Linked DNA regions of Rattus norvegicus. The protein of the gene in region 2 interacts with the protein of the main gene of each other region in a pairwise test. Links are inferred from orthologs where the notes say so. Each region holds a gene or a part of one and is shown on either strand. Other genes may lie near its edges.

What was found. The genes of interacting proteins can lie anywhere in the genome.
Region 1: the proteins of Fbf1 (region 2) and Accs interact in a two-hybrid assay, tested with the Homo sapiens proteins (2 studies listed by BioGRID and IntAct). The two-hybrid records come from large-scale screens. The link is inferred for Rattus norvegicus from reciprocal best matches to the Homo sapiens genes FBF1 and ACCS.

Annotation. Positions count from the first base shown.
Region 1 is NC_086021.1:100,263,956-100,271,607, forward strand, and holds part of Accs (1-aminocyclopropane-1-carboxylate synthase-like protein 1), read right to left. Parts: intron 6,559-7,652; coding exon 6,488-6,558; intron 5,516-6,487; coding exon 5,446-5,515; intron 5,147-5,445; coding exon 5,080-5,146; intron 4,699-5,079; exon of another isoform or gene 4,630-4,698; intron 4,496-4,629; coding exon 4,398-4,495; intron 3,924-4,397; coding exon 3,846-3,923; intron 2,723-3,845; coding exon 2,622-2,722; intron 1,881-2,621; coding exon 1,791-1,880; intron 955-1,790; coding exon 909-954; intron 821-908; coding exon 679-820; intron 1-678. UniProt on the Homo sapiens protein: Does not catalyze the synthesis of 1-aminocyclopropane-1-carboxylate but is capable of catalyzing the deamination of L-vinylglycine.
Region 2 is NC_086028.1:101,895,930-101,904,350, forward strand, and holds the start of Fbf1 (fas-binding factor 1), read right to left. Parts: upstream 4,552-8,421; 5' UTR 3,921-4,551; coding exon 3,882-3,920; exon of another isoform or gene 1,883-3,881; intron 1,804-1,882; exon of another isoform or gene 1,732-1,803; coding exon of another isoform or gene 1,729-1,731; intron 696-1,728; coding exon 668-695; intron 36-667; exon of another isoform or gene 1-35. UniProt on the Homo sapiens protein: Keratin-binding protein required for epithelial cell polarization. Involved in apical junction complex (AJC) assembly via its interaction with PARD3. Required for ciliogenesis.

The sequences.
Region 1 (7,652 bases), on a different chromosome or scaffold from region 2:
AACCATGGGGGAACTGTATAGAAATTCTTCTCAGGGTCCTAGGAGGGAGTGAGGTAGACAAAGAGAGAGCATCTGAAAGGCTGAGTGAACAACAATTCCACGAGAGCTTCACCATCTAAACCCATGGCGGGAAGCAGGGACAGAGCACAGGACTCAGAGACAGAGAGCTCTCCATCACAGAATTTTCTCAGTAACTCCTGATCTCTTTTGAAAGTGTCCAAAGATAATAATCATAAGTTCAATTTTTTTTAGGTGTAGTCCCACTAGATTGCCCAGGCTATCCCAGATCTCCTGACCATAAAGCATCCTCCTGCTCCAGCCTCCCAAGTAGTTAAGAGTACAGATGCACAGCACTGCACCCAGCCTGTGAGCTCACGTTAGCCAAGCACCCATTGTATGCCATGGAAGGTTCTAACCAGATTACAGATCATGCTCAGTCTACAAGGCTAGCACTGTTATCAGCCCCATTCTACAGATGATGGACCTGAGGCTCAGAGAGGTGAAGACATGTACTACATAAGTAGGAAGCAAGCAACTGAGTACAGTCTGGACCCAGAAATGACACTCTCAGACATCACCCAAGTTCCCCCACAGGAGAGGCACTCATGAGCCCCAGCAAGTCCTACGTGCATGCCAACCCCACTCCTCTCTTTCAAGCCCCTAGACCCAGACAGTCACCATGGTCCTGGAGCAGCTGTGCCATCTGGTGTTGGACCAGACCACTGAGGCCATGATAGCGGCAGAGGGAGGCCACGGCAGTAGCCACGTGCTGGTTTTCTGTGTACAGGACACCAAAGCGAAGCCCAGACATCCCAAAGTCCTACAAGAAGACACATGCTAGGCCATGGCTGACCCTCACAGAAGAAACCAATTCTATTCCCACCACCCCAGGCTAGCCAGGAGCTCACCTTGCTGGTGGCCCACATCACATGTGTTCTCTGGGGGTCGGGCAGCCTACAGAGAAGAAAGCATGGAGACGTAAGCAACCTAGACCCAGCAGATCGCAGATCTGTGGATGGATGAGTAGATGGATGGATGAAACTGGGTCTCGTGTCTTTGAACCACCGATTCTCATGCTTCTCTCAGAACAGGCCAGCAGATGGCCTGCTGCCTGTGTCTGTAAATAACATTATATGAGAATACAACCAAGCTCACTGGATCTATAGACCTGACATCTGAGCTGGAATTTAGCTCAAGCACCATTTCCTCAAAAGGTTTCCCTAACCAACCCCAGGAGTCCAGGCCAAGCAGGTGCCTCAGACAGACCTTCCCACAGCTCCTTGCTACCTCTGTTTCAGCATACTTGCCACTATCATTGAAATTGCTAGCTATGTCTTTAGCTTCTGAGACCTTTGCCTATCTAGAAATATAGATAAGAGGATGGATGGATAGGTGGGCAGATGAATGGGTAGATGAAGGGATAGATGGACAAAGGGATGAGGGGACAGATGAATGGATGAGTAGATGGACGGACAGACAGAAAGACTGATGGGTAGATAAAAATGAGGCTACTCTAAATACAAATTAAACAGCCAGAGTCCAGTTTCCCATATACCAAATATGCCTTCAAAGGATGCCAAGCCTTGGAGTTCTTGGGAATGACATAGAATAATCTGAAGACAGGGTCTACCTAATTGCCCCTAGCCTGAGGACCAGTGAGATCAGACAGATATTAATAGAACTACCTTGGGGCAGCAGGCCAGGCAGGCCGTGTGTATTGACCTAGATAGAAGCTGGAGAAACTGAGACAGTTCAGGGACTGGTAGGACCAGCTACAGTGGGAGTCTCACCTTTCCAGGCTGAGGACACTGCGGTACCCAAGAGACTCTTCAAAAACAGACAGCATGTAAACCTCATCCATGATCACATGCAGCTTGTGCCTGGAGTGGGTAGGTAGTAGGAAGGAGAGAGCCAAAGATGTCACTCACTGTTGAATAGCAGTACATCAGAAATGCAGGGGACCACAGTGTAGCCCAGGGCTACCAAACCATTTGCCCAGGAATAACCACGTTGGTCTATATTTTTACAAAGGGGGACTGCACATATAAAGCAGTGGATTCTGGAGCTTTTGAAGCACTGCAATAGAGAGGAGGCACCCTTGGGGTCCTCCATGATGGGCTGGAGACAAACTCATACTCATGTCTGTTCCCACTCCTGATTGGACCACTCTGAGGCTCTGTCAAGCAGGGATGACAAGTGTTCATTTTTTATGGGGCTGCCGTGAGGAGAACCACAGAAAGTGGTCAGCTGGGAAGATCAGCTGGTCAGTAAAGCGCTGCAAATATGAAGGCCCAAGTTTGATACCCAGAGCCCTGGGGTTCACTAGTCAGATAGCTTCTCATACTTGACAAGCTCGAGACCAGTGAAACCCTTTCCCAAAAGCAAAGCATCTGAGGAATGACTGCTATCTCCCACATTTACACACATGTGGACACAGATAAACATATAAATAAATACATAAATGCATAAATAATCAAGTGTTCAGCATGGTGCCTGGTCCTAGAGCATTACAGATGGTGTTTGAGAAACATAGGGAAACACCACGGCAGGTAGTTGCCCACAGAGGTCTAAGGCCACATCAGAACTCTCTCTTCCCACTTTGTGGGGCAAGCAGAACTCACCTCATGGCAAATCCCAGGAAGTCCTGCAGCTCTTCAGGGGAGTAGATATCACCCAGAGGGTTTTGGGGGTTGATGAGGATGAGGCCTTTAACCTTGACACCCTGAAACCATCCAGGGGGTATGTCAGTACATGCCCCCCCCAACTCCAGAGCCTTACAGTCTCACTGGATGAAGCTGGTAGCTGCCCAGGGAAGCATGGCAAGAACACGATCCTGACCCAACGAGAAGCAGATGAGTAGGACGAGAATTACATCTGCCGTGCAGTCCCTACTATGGAAAGAAAGCAGGCAGGGAGCAGGGAAACGCGTCAGCTGCTGGCACAGAGGCTGCTTGTGTCAGAGGAATTGTAAGTGGGAGGTGAGAACTTTCACGGTTCCTGCACTGAGCACTTGACAGCTTGAATGGCAACAGTAAATGCAGGGAAGTGCACAGATGCTGAACATGGGCGGAAAGCAAGTGCAGGAACTCAGGTCTCTGCCTTTCTTAAGAAGCCCCTCAAAACGAGCAGGATCACCCCTCAATTTGCCAGAAAGACTCACTAAACTATAGACTCCTGTGACCCACATTTGACCCTGAAGCAGAAACAAAAGCACTAGAGTACAAGGAGTGTCCTTTTTAATTAGCATACTGTAGTAGTTTGAATTAGAATCTGCCCCCTACCCCCCCATACACAAAGGTTCACGTTTGAATACTTGGTCTTTAGTGGAACTGTTTGGGAAGGATGAGGGAGGTGTGGCCTTGTTGGAGGTAGTGTGTTACTGCAGACCAGAATGAAAAGCACTCAGCTACTTCTCCAGTGCCATGCCTCTCTCCTTCCTGCTTTATTTTATGAGTTACCCTGGTCATGGTATCTCTTCACAGCAATAGAACAGTAACTAAGGCACATACACTCATTAAAAACAATAATGGGCTTCCCTTTTGACATTTTCGTGCATATATAAAACGAATTATGATCCTATCCCACCATCATCTGCTATCCTTTTTTTCGGGTGGGGGGGATTTCTGATGAACTTCCCTGGTCCTCTATATACTGTGGTTTCAAAGTCTTTTTCTAATGAAAAAGCCCTCCATAGATACAGGATTCTGTCTGACCGCATTCCCAGGATGGCTCCATAATCCACCCCCCCAGATGTCCCTATCAATGTAACAAGCCCAGGAGATGAAAGGTCTAGCCCCTGCTGAAATCCACCCACTCCCAGTCCTGGATTTGACTGAATCTCCAACCTCAGAGTTAACTCCTTGCAGGGCCATCTCCAGCTTCTCTACGGTGAGCTGGAAGGGACGTGTATTCAGTCCAGTTACCTGGGAAAAGACCCACCAAAGTCAGAAGCCAAATTCAGTGACATGGCCCCAACCCCAAACTTGAACTCTTGGGACTCTCTTTCCCTATCGTCCCCAGCCTCTTGGGTACAGCCTCTGAAAAACAGGAAGGACTGCTTCCCCTTCCTGCCTTCCACCCCATCTTATCTCTTAGATTTCTGGCAGAGGCAGCAAGGCTTCTCTGACTGGTTCTCAGGACTCCCAAGGCCTAAGCTTGCCCCTTTCCACCCTCTCATTTATGAGGCTAGTCCTTGGCTTCTCCATGGATCCAGGATCTTAGAATCTGTGGCTTGGAGCTTCCAAGGAACCCAGGCAGAGACATCCATGTGACAACAGAAGGCTCCACTCCCATTTTATAGCAGCTCCAAAGCCCCTAACACAGGCTCCCTTCACATCCACCCACAGCCTCAGAACCAGGAAAACGCAGATGCAAGAACTGGGCTGCAGGCATCTTACCTTGCTGTCCAGGTAGACATAGGCTAGTCGGATGTTGCCATAGAGATAGATGTGCTGGGTGATGGCTCCGTAGTAAGGGGTGGGGATCAAGAGGACTTCTAGGAGCAGGAGTAGAGCCCATTAGCCTCTGACCTGGATACTTCAGACCCTGTCATGTGTGCCACTGTCCTTCCTAGCCTCCACCATCTCTGGGAAACATTTGGGGCAAATCCTTGCTCTCAACTCCCAAAACCTTAAAGCTTGGATCCCCCAAGATCAGGTTTCTTCTGATATAGATGCTCCTTCACTTATGATGAGTTCACATCCAGATTAATCCACTATAAGGGAAAAATATATAGAAATGTATTTGACCCGCCTAATCTCCTGAATATCCTAGCAACGTATAACAGGGCAGAGTATTGGTGTTGACTCAAAAATCTCATGACTGCCTGCAGGTAGAGTCGGGGAGCTCATTGCCCCTGCACAGCATTGTGAGAAAATACCCCACCACACGGCACTAGCCAGAGAACCTGCCATAGTTCAAACTTCCTAAGACCAGGCATGTAGCCTAGTAGGTAGAGGGCTTGCATTGCACACACAAAGCCCTGGGCTCCACCCCCAGCACCTCACCCAGACAACTGTGGTCACAGCCCAGCACAGCCCTGGACAAAAGCTGAGGGAGTAGGACATGGAGTCCACTTACCTCCTGGCTCGCACAGCACTGTGGCCAGAGCAGAAAAGAGAGAGGCACAGCCATTCAGAACAACCACCTGGGAGTGATGGGAGACAAGAATGCCTCTGTCAGGTGACAGAGAAGAAAGGCCATGGAAAGTGCCCTGGAGGTCCATCCTGACAGAGGTCTCCATTGGCTCCCAGCCAAGCTGATTTCAGGGTACCTTGCTCTTGATCAAGTGAATGAGAGATGGAACTGATCACTCTGAGGATCTCTCCCAAAGGTGGGAAAGTCAAGAGGACCAAAGTACAATGGGGTTGGGAGGCAAACTAAGTGAGAGGCAGACCCAAAGCGCCCTCCCTGACAACCTCCACTCCTAGGGAAGGCGTAACTCACATTTTCTGGTTTGAGGGGTGCCGGGCTCTTACAATAGAAAGACAAGAACCTTGCCACTTCTTTCCGGAGGCTAGAAGAACAGACCAACAAAATATGACACTTGTCAGAGCATACTCAGCCTAGTATACTCCAGAGCCCCTCTGGGAACCGGCAGGTGGCTGGCGGCCACTGCCCCATCCTCCCTTCCCAAGGTGGCAGACATTTATCTCCATTCCAGCATACCCTCCCTCATCCAGCCACAAAGCATTCTGGGTCTAGGACACCCACCCCCACCTAATCAGGAGACTCCAGGGGAAGAAACAAACACCACATACATCTAGCTGATAATGATAACAGTAAACACTATTATAACAGGGACTGTTAACCATGGCTCTTGCTGAGCTCCAACATCACACAAACATTATTCAGAGACTGTTTCATGGTGGCTGTCATTACTATCATTCCCATTTTACAAATAAAGAAACCGAGAGAATTTGAAGGAATTGTCTCCCTTGCTAGTAAGTGGCAGAGGCCTTACTCATGCCCAGTGGCCTGCCCCAGAGCTCACCATCTGGACCATGGATCCCTTAGAATAGTGTCTGACCCTCAGTAAATTATCAGTGCACAGCACAGTCAGGACCATCCCCTGGCCCATCAAACCATTGAGAGTGGGCCCCAGTCAGCCCCCTTGTCATCTCTAAAGCTTCTAGAAAACCAAGGACAGTCTCCTCACTTGTCACAGACTTAGGGTCATGGGAACCAGCTGGGAGCTCTGGGGATGGAGCTGAGGCTGACAGGCCAGCCCATGGTCACCAGGTCTCCATAACTATGTTCTCAGCCTATGGCCAGCTTCTCCACTCAGTCTCTCCTGATGTTGTAGACAGAACAACACTTTGTTGAGGTGCTCCCCTGTTGAGGTACGTTACAGGGTGAAGAGCACACCACTGGCCAGTTGACCCTTCTTCCTGTTACACCAACCAGAAATGTGTCTCAGCTCTACTCTACCTCCCTGGAGGCCAACACGTCCCATGTTGGGACCCACTGGCCTGGGGTGACTACTTACAACCGATGCCCTCTCCAGTCAGGGTACTGCAGCAGAGATGGCTCCACATGAAGCATGTCATTCTGTGTCAGCTGGGGACACACAGGAGAGAGAGCAAGGTTGACGGCCAACACTGTCGCCTACATCCACACAGCACCTTGGCCTATCTAGGGTTTCTCCTGCTTCTCAGAGAAACTGTGCAAAGAGTACAAGGCAGCATCCCCAGGCCCATTTCACAGATAAGCAAGGCAAGGCTCACAAAGTGAAGGCAGGGCCCCCGGGCTAGCAAGCGGCAGCACTGAAATGATATCCAGAACTTTTGACTCAAGCTCTCTATACAACAAAAATGAGAGGGGTGGGTGCAGAAGTAGCGGTGGGAAGTCGTGACGCTCAGCCTTCCCAGAGGTCGGAGGAGGTTCCAGGGTTGTCCTTGGATCCAACTATAGTAGGGACTCAAGGCACTGTCTTCTGCAGGCTCAACTCAATCTCACCCTTTGCATACAGTGGTCCATCCCTTGTAGACCATCCCTTGTATAACCAGGTACTGAATTAGTAGCAGTAGAGCATCATGGCTACAAGGTCAAAGACAGACAATAACATAGGGTTCTTGGACAGGGGCCCAGAAGAATTGGAATCATGTACTTCTCCATGCCTGGGCCCAGCCATTCCCCTCCCTTCTGTCACTCCTTAGAGCTGGTCCCACATGGAAGCCACTGGTATTCTGTAGCAACTGAGCATTTACTAGGTGGCTAATCTGAACTGTAAAGACTTCCTAAAAACAAGTTTTAATAAATATCAATAATTGTACATTCATTACCAGCTACAATGATCATATTTTAGATCTATTAGGTAAATGAAATATTACTGGAACTAATTTTGAGTTTTGGAGAGTTGGGACATCTGATGAAATTTTAAGAAATCTGATGAAATATTAAGGAATTTTGCAAGCTGGATTAGAAGCAGCCATAGAAGCCAAGCCTGGCAGTGCACCCAGTTACACTGGAGGCTGAAATAGGAGGCCTGGCAAATCTAAGACCTGCCCAGACTGTGGAATAAGGTCAAGGTCAGCCTCTGCGACTTAGACCTTGTCACAAAATAACAAGTGAAGAAGGCAGAGAGTGAGGTTTGACTTGCCTGGACTGTGTAAATGCTAGGTTCAATCTCCAGCAAACAAAAATAAAACTAA
Region 2 (8,421 bases):
TTGCTTCATCAGACTCAGCCGTCTTCTTTTCCAGCTCTTTGGAGAGGGTCTCTCTGCACAGCCCTGGCTGTCCTGGACCTGTGTAGAGCAGACTTGCTGACCCTGAGAGACTAGCCTGCCTGCACCTGAGTCCTGGACTCCAGGGGTGACCAACACCCAGCTTCCTTCTTTTTTTTTTTTTTTTTTTTTTTCTTTAAATTGGAGCAGAAATGCGTGTCCTGACACTCCTGTGGAGGGCAGCAGACAATCTGCAGGAGTCGCTTCTCTCCTTCCTTCCACCACTTAGGTCCAAGGGGTTCAGGGTATCAGACATGAGACACCTTAACCTGGAGTCAGCTCTCTCCTCCCAGGCCTCAGATACCTCTACCTGCTGCTTCTCACTCACCAGCTTGTTTTGTTTTATTTATTTATTTATTTATTTTTTTATTTTTATTTATTCATTTATTAAAAAGGATCTCAGCCAGGTGGAGGTGACACATGCCTTAATGCAGCACATGGCATAGGCAGGCAGATCTCTCTGAGTTTAAGACTGGTCTGCTTTGCATAGTGAGTTCTAGGACAAAAGAAGAGAAAAAGGAAGGAAGAAGGAAAAAGGAGAAGGAAGGAGAAAGAAGAGGAGGAAGAAGAAGAGGAGGAATACTTGGATTACAGGTGATATTCCTCTTACCTTTCAATCCTTTCTTGGCTTTCAGTGCCTAAAATGGGGAGAAAATCACATTAACAAAATCCAGCCACGAGCATGTGGTAGAACTGGGCAAGAAATGTGCTTTGCCTTTCTCTAGGCCCTGGAGGAAGGAGCATTTGCAGATGAAGTCAGTTCTGTTTTCCTGTAGCTCCTGAGAATGAATTTACTCAGAGCAGAGCCAGGCTGTGGACAGACACTTCTCTGAGTTACAGATACCGCACGTAAAACCCTCCCAGAGGCAGTAACCGGAAGGTTCTCTTCTGTGTCTGAAGGGTCTAAAGACACTTCCAGTGTCCCCCAACAACTGGTGGGGGGCTGTCCCTAAATCTGTTGCCCGCCTGTGGATCCTGTTCCCCTAACTGAGCTGCCCTTCTGGCCTCAGTGGGAGAGGACTGGCCTAGTCCTACAGTAGCTTGATGTGACAGAATGGGGTAATACCTGTGCAGGAGCTCCCCCTTCTCAGAGAACAAGGAGGAGGAGCTGTGTGAGGGAGGGTACCAGGAGGGGGCCTGAGATTGGGATAGAAAGTGAATAAATTAGTGAAAAACGTGTTTCTGGCAGGAAATTCAGAGGACTCGGAGGTTCAGGATATAGGCCACCATGGCCCTCACCTTCAACACTAGCACGTAGAACTCAGAGGCAGGTGGATCTCTATGAGTGCCAAGCCAGCCTGGTCTTCTACATAGCAATTCCAGGCCAGACAGAGTGACAGGGAGACCATGCCTCACCAAAACAACAAAAATAGAGGCTCAAGGGAAACGCTGCTCATTGCTTAAAGGTTTGTTTTGTGGAGGCTGGGGGAGGCTGGGAGGGGTCTCCCTGTGTATGCTGCCCTGGAATCACAAGAGAGCAGCCTGCCTCTGCCTCTACCTCCATGTTCTGGAATTTAAGGCCCAGCTCAATGCATAAGTTTTTCTAATGCTGCCCTTCCATGGGACCATCTCCTGGTCCTTGCCACAAAACTTCTATTCTATGCAGTCAAGATGTTGAGGGTGGGGTGGGGTGTGCCTATTTTCCCGAGCCTTGGGCTATACTCTGCCTACCATCCTGGCTTTGGGGCTTTCTGCAGCTCCTCACTGTCCAGTCATGTGCACTCTTGCCCAGCAAGGTCATCTTCCCTAATAGAGAAAATCAAAGGAACTGCTTAAAAGCTGAAGCTGGGGGGCTGAGGATTTAGCTCAGTGGTAGAGCGCTTACCTAGGAAGCACAAGGCCCTGGGTTCGGTCCCCAGCTCCGAAAAAAAGAACCAAAAAAAAAAAAAAAAAAGCTGAAGCTGGAGAGACAGCTTAGGAGCCAAGAGCACAAACTGGTTTTGCAGAGGACCTCAGTTGGGTTCCCAGCACTTGCGCTGGATAGCTCACAGGCCCCCCGGAACTCTAGGCCTCAGGCATCCAAAGGCATCTGCACCCACACGCACACATACTTTCATATAATTAAAAATAAAACCTTTTTTTGCAAGAATATGTAGTTTAGCTGGACATGGTGGCATAGCCCTGAAATAACAGATTTGGGAAGAGGTTTTAAAAAAAATTCAGCAGCTCAAGGCTAGCCTCAGCTACAAACCAAATTCAAGGCCAGCCTGGGCTCCATAAATCTCAAAAACAAACAAGCAAATACACTAATACATAAATGCTGCACTTACTAGCGCTTAGCTCCAAGGGTCCTTCACTTAAAGAGCTCAAAGCCCAGTGAGGGAGGGGTGGCACATGCCTTTAATCACCACCCTCAGGTGGTACAGACAGATCTCTTGAGTTTGAGGCCATCCTCAGTACAGTCAGGAATTGGTCAAACCTATTTCTATAAGCCCAGAATTTATGAACTGAGTGCCATTCAGCGAGTAAGGGTGCTTTTGGCACCACCCAACTTGTCTGAGTTGGATACCCTAGGGCACACAAGATGGAGGGGGGTAGAAAATTGACTCCTGCAAGTTTTCCTTTTACCTCCATGTGCATGGGTGCCCCACTACCCCAAATGAATAAGTGAAGTTAAAAAAAAAATTCCTGAGGTGGGTATGATAATACATACCTGGTGTCAACCCTAGAACTTGGGAGGCTGAGAGGCAGAAAGGTCACAAGTTCTAGACAACCTGAGGTATGTAATAAAAAAAAAAAAGTGGCCTGGAGGTGGTAGCACTCAGGAGGTAGAGACAGGAGGATTTCTAAGTTTGGGCCCAGCCTGGTCTACAGAGTGAGTTCTAGGAAAGCCAGGATTACACAGAGAAATCCTGTCAAACAAAACAAAACAAAATCAAGACAGAGATGAGCACGGGTTGCTCCTCCAGAGGAGCTGGACTGGATTCCTGGCACCCACGTGGGTTTACAATCTCTTGTCACTCCCATTAGGGACAGATGCACTTTTTGACTGCCCAGAACACTTCATGAATGTGGTGTACAGACACACTGACAAAACACCCACACACATAAAATTTAAAAAATGAAGAAGAAGGGGTTGGGGATTTAGCTCAGTGGTAGAGCGCTTCCCTAGCAAGCGCAAGGCCCTGGGTTCGGTCCCCAGCTCCGGGAAAAAAAAAAAGAATAAGGAAAAAAAAAAAAGGAAAAAGAAAAAGCTAGGCATAGGGGTTGGGGATTTGGCTCAGTGGTAGAGCACTTGCCTAGGAAGCGCAAGGCCCTGGGTTCGGTCCCCAGCTCCGGAAAAAAAAGAACCAAAACAAAAAAAAACCAAAAAAACCCAAAAAACCTAGGCATAGTGCTTCCTACTCTCAATCCCAGCACTTGGAGGCTGAAGCAGGATTGCTATGAGTTAGGGACCAGCTTTAACCACTATAGTAAGTTCTTGGGCTAGGGTGATTGGGGGAGGGGGTAGGTATTGGCCTTTCCTTGGCTTGGAGAGTGGTTTTTTTTTTTTTTTTTTTTTTTTTTTTTCTTTTTTTCGGAGCTGGGGACCGAACCCAGGGCCTTGCGCTTGCTAGGCAAGCGCTCTACCACTGAGCTAAATCCCCAACCCCGGAGAGTGTTTTAAAAGTAGCCCTGGAAGTGGTGAAAAGCCAAATGGAAAGGGAAAACACATCCTGGCCCAAATCCCTTGCCAGGAATCTCTCTGTACGCAGTATCCAATACAAAGCCTGACAGTGAGTTCTGGTTTCTTCCCTCACCGATGGTAAACATTTCATATTGGGAACAGATTTTCCCAGCATTCCCTACCTCCTTTTTGCTTCTTTCACTTCACCCAAACCCACCTTCACATGCCTAGGAAGAAAGGCGGCTGCGGCGCTCATCTGTCTTCTTGGTGTGCCTAGCCTCTTACTAAAATGCAAAGTGTACTGGGGTTGTGGACACAGGGGAATGCTTGTGTTTCTCCTGTGCAATGGCAACTTTAGCGACCTACAAGTCCAAACGCGTTTTGGCTCACATCACACCAAATAACTTGTGCTATCTCCTATGTATTCCGTCGCAGCTTCCCAGACCTGGAGGGACATTTCCTAGGGGCGGCTTGTAAAGGCCAAAGTATCCCAGAATAACGTCTTCACATATTCAACCAACTGCATGAAGGCATTTTAAAATTCGCGAACCCGCCCCTCAGCCACAGCGGTTCCGGGAGTGCCGCGCCAGGCCAGGCATGGTGCCCCCTCACTGTTCCATCCCGCGCGCGCCCATCCCATCGGAACTCAGATACAGCCGTGCTTCTCCCTAGTCCTTTGGGGCCCTGTTAAGAGCCGTCCTTTCAGAAACAGAGCCACGGAAACCCAGCCCAACCAGAGCCCCGGGTTCCGACTCCACTCAGTCCGCTCGGATCCGCCAGGCCTACCACCTCTGCACCGGCGACATTCCCACCACGCCGCCTCCGGCCTCAAATAGAAGGTGGAGTGGAGGATTCTAGGAACTGTAGTCTGCCGCCCGTTCAGTAGTGGGCCGAACCACAGGAGGTGCCGGGAAGGACTACATTTCCCAGCGTTCCCCGCAGCGGGGGCAAGGCGTCAGTTGGATGCTCCGCGAGTCGCTAGGAGCTATCTTAACGTCACTCCCGTGAAGCTCGGGAGGAAAATCATCTCCCGACTAAGGGCCAAACTAAGTGCTAATTGGTAACCAATAATAAGGTCAAAGCTGCTCTATCAGAAAACCCAAAACCATCAACAAAGGCACACAGTGGGCGTGCCACGTCCAGAATCATAGCGTTTCTAACCTAGGCTGGACCTGGACTGTAAATTTCCTAGGTCAAAACTGGCTGTAGCACAAATTTGAGGCCGGCTACATAATAGTGTCCTAGAATCACACTTAACACACTTTCTTAGGTGCAGTCCAAAGGAATAAAAAGAACTTTAGCGGGGTTGGGGATTTGGCTAAGTGGTAGAGCGCTTACCTAGGAAGCGCAAGGTCCTAGGTTCCGTCCCCAGTCCCTGAAAAAAAAAAAAGAACTTTAGCTAGAGGCATGGTGGTGACTCTGCCAACACAGATGCTCCAAATCCCTACAAATTTTATTTTTTTAAACAAAGCACATTTTTTTAAATTTAATTTTATTTATATGAGCACACAGCAACTGTCTTCAGACACACCAGAAAAGTGTATCGGATCTCATCACAGATGGTTGTGAGCTAACATGTGGGTGCTGGGAATTGAACTCAGGACCTCTGGAAGAGCAGTCAGTGCTGCAGTCAGTGGTCTTAACCACTGAGCCATCTCTCCAGCCCCCAAATTTAATTTTTTAACTTTGAGTTTTATTACGTGCCGATGTTTAGATCAAATCCACCCTCCACTGAAGCTGCTCCAAATCTCCCCATAGCTTTTTCCCTCCCAACTTCTTGTGTTCTTATAGAAAACAACTTAGTACCCAAGTATGTGCACGGGTACTCTGGAGCAGGGACTGTCTATCAGGGGAAGAATTCTGTGTGTGTGTGTGTGTGTGTGTGTGTGTGTGTGTGTGTAGGAGCTGTGCTTGAATTAAACTAACACTCACTCTCGCATCAGCCATCAATTGACAATAACTTCTCAGCTCGCGGTTATCTAAGGACGTAACCATGTTGAAGGCTTGCTTGGCTCGCTTGATCTTCAAAGATCAGTCAGTCAGCCACTGTGAGTTCCTGTGTGCGGCAGTCCTGACTTTTGACAAAGATCCCTGAGGCCTTGGTGTGTGTGTAATGCTTCATTTAGGACTGCATTTTCATAGTGTCTTACTCTCTGTTCATGGATCAATTGTATTGACTGCCATCTATTGCAAAACTGAAGCTTTTAATGAAGTTAACCCTAAGTCAAATGGTTAAACCAAACTGCACTAGAATCTAGCAATTTACAACCACTAAAAAAACTGGTTTATAACCAAAACCACAGTTTGTTGTATTTTTACCATCATAGACTACAGAAATGTTAAAAAAAAAAACAAGAAAAAAAAAAACTCAGTGAGCTGTCTGTCCTGGTGGAGCTTGCCTTTAATCCCAGCACTGAGGAGGCAGAGGCAGGAGGATCTCTGTGAATTCAAGGCCAGTCCGGTCTACAAAGCTATCCAGGATATCCAGGGCTACACAGAGATATCTGTTGTCTTGGTTAGGGTTTCCATTGCTGTGATGAACCACCATGACCAAAAAGCACAGTTGAGGACAAAAGGGACTTTCGTTGGCTTACACACCCATATTGCTGTTCGTACTAAAGGAAGTCAAGACAGGAACTCAAACAGGGCAGGAACCTCGAGGCAGGAGCTGATGCAGAAGCCACGGAGAGGTGCTGCTTACTGACTTGCTTCCCACGGTTTGCTCAGCCTGCTTTCTTATAGAATCCGGGACCAGCAGCCCAGGGAGGGCCCTCCCCTGTCAGTCACTAACTGAGAAAATGCTTTACAGCTGGATCTTATGGAGCAATTACTCATCTGAGGTTCCTTCCTCTCTGATGACTCTAGCTTATGTCAAGTTGATACACAAAACTAGCCAATACACCTGTCTTAGAAGAAGAGGGGGAGGAGGAGGAAGAGGAGGAGGAGGAAGAAGAGGAAGAGGAAGAGGAGGAGGAAGAGGAGGAGGAAGAGGAGGAGGAAGAAGAGGAAGAGGAGGAAGAGGGGGAGGAGGAAGAGGAGGAAGAGGAAGAAGAGGAGGAGGGGGAGGAGGGGAGGAGGAGGAAGAGGAAGAAGAGGAGGAAGAGGAGGAGGAGAACAATCTTGTATACAGTTTGCAGGTGGAAAATGTTACAGATTCAGCAGAAAGCGACCATACAATGGTCAGGAAGCTAATCAAGCAGTGCCGCACAAGAGGAGCACAGGCTATCTCAGGTGTATCATAGACCAAGCACAGGAGAGCCCTGGGACTGATTACTCGGGTCCCTTCAGGAGAGAAAAGTCAAGTTCCCACAAACTGAATCCTTAATCCTTCAAGGCCCTGGCACCAGCCTCTGACCGGATCTTGTCAAGTCCGCACCTAGGCAAGGACACAGAACTAGTAATCCTTTTGTCTTTTCATAGGGCCTCTGGGAAGCCTTCCTACAGGTTAGATGATGAGTTAAGATAGAGCTTGTGGGGGGGGGGGCGCTGGGGGCTGGAGAGATGGCTTAGCGGTTAAGAGCACTGACTGATCTTCCAGAGGTTCTGAGTTCAATTCCCAGCAACCACATGGTGGCTCACAACCATCTGTAATGGGATCTGATGCCCTCTTCTGGTGTTCTGAAGACAGCAGTAGTGTACTTACCTATATGAAAATAAATAAATCTTAAAAAAAAAAAAAAAGATAGAGCTTGGATAAGACCTCCAAACTGTAACAGGGCCCCGGACTTAGCAGTCCCCCAAGACCTTAGCACAGCTAACTCCATGATGGAAATACCGTTCAGGGTGTAAAATTCAATGAGTTTGTTTTTTAAACAAAAGCATATAGAGTGGAACTTTCCAGGCATTCTTGCCTACCACTTTCTTTTTTTTGTTTTTTTAAGATTTATTCATTTATTATATATAAGTACACTGTAGCTGTCTTCAGACACACCAGAAGAGGGCATCAGATGAGCCACCATGTGGTTGCTGGGAATTGAACTCAGGACCTCTGGAAGAGTAGTCGGGTGCTCTTAACCGCTGAGCCATCTCTCCAGCCCCTGCCTACCACTTTCTGATTTACTGCTAAGAGCAGGAGTTTGGGGGCCAGAAACTAATAGAAACCTTGATGTGGGTGTGTGGCCGTCACACGGGCCACTGCTGCCTGCCTTGTGGGTGTGTCATCTGCCCAAACTAAAACAAAGAGCTAATCCGTCAAAATCCGTACAGGTCTGGGAAAGTCTCCGTGTACTAACATTGCTTTTTGGCTTCTGTAGTTCCACTTCTGACTGTTCCTAACTGAAGTATGTCAATCTTCAAAGAACACAAAAGCCCATTCTGAGAAAGGTTCAGGGCTACACTGGTATCTCAAACATCCGGTTATCTTTGCCAGTCAGCTAATAAGGACTTTCTATGGGCTTAAACCCATGTTCGAGCCGTCTTCTCTGGTGGATACTCCATGATACTGACCCCGAATGTTCCTATCTACATTCCCTGATCTCCTGGTCCTTCCTCTCTCAGGAGTCTGTCACTGAGGAAGATGCCGGTCCTATACCTGATTCACTTCCTGTGAAGGTACCTCTGGGCAGATTTGTAAAGATCTAAGCTGTGGCCATAAAGGAAAGCCAGGAGTTAAGATTAAAACATGAAGCTGGGTGCTGACGGCACATGCCTTTAATCCCAGTCCTTGGGAGGCAGCAGGCAGCCAGGGCTATATAGAGAAACTGTGTAAAAACCAAAAACCAAAACGAAAAACTCCCCATTATGATTTTAAGAGTTTT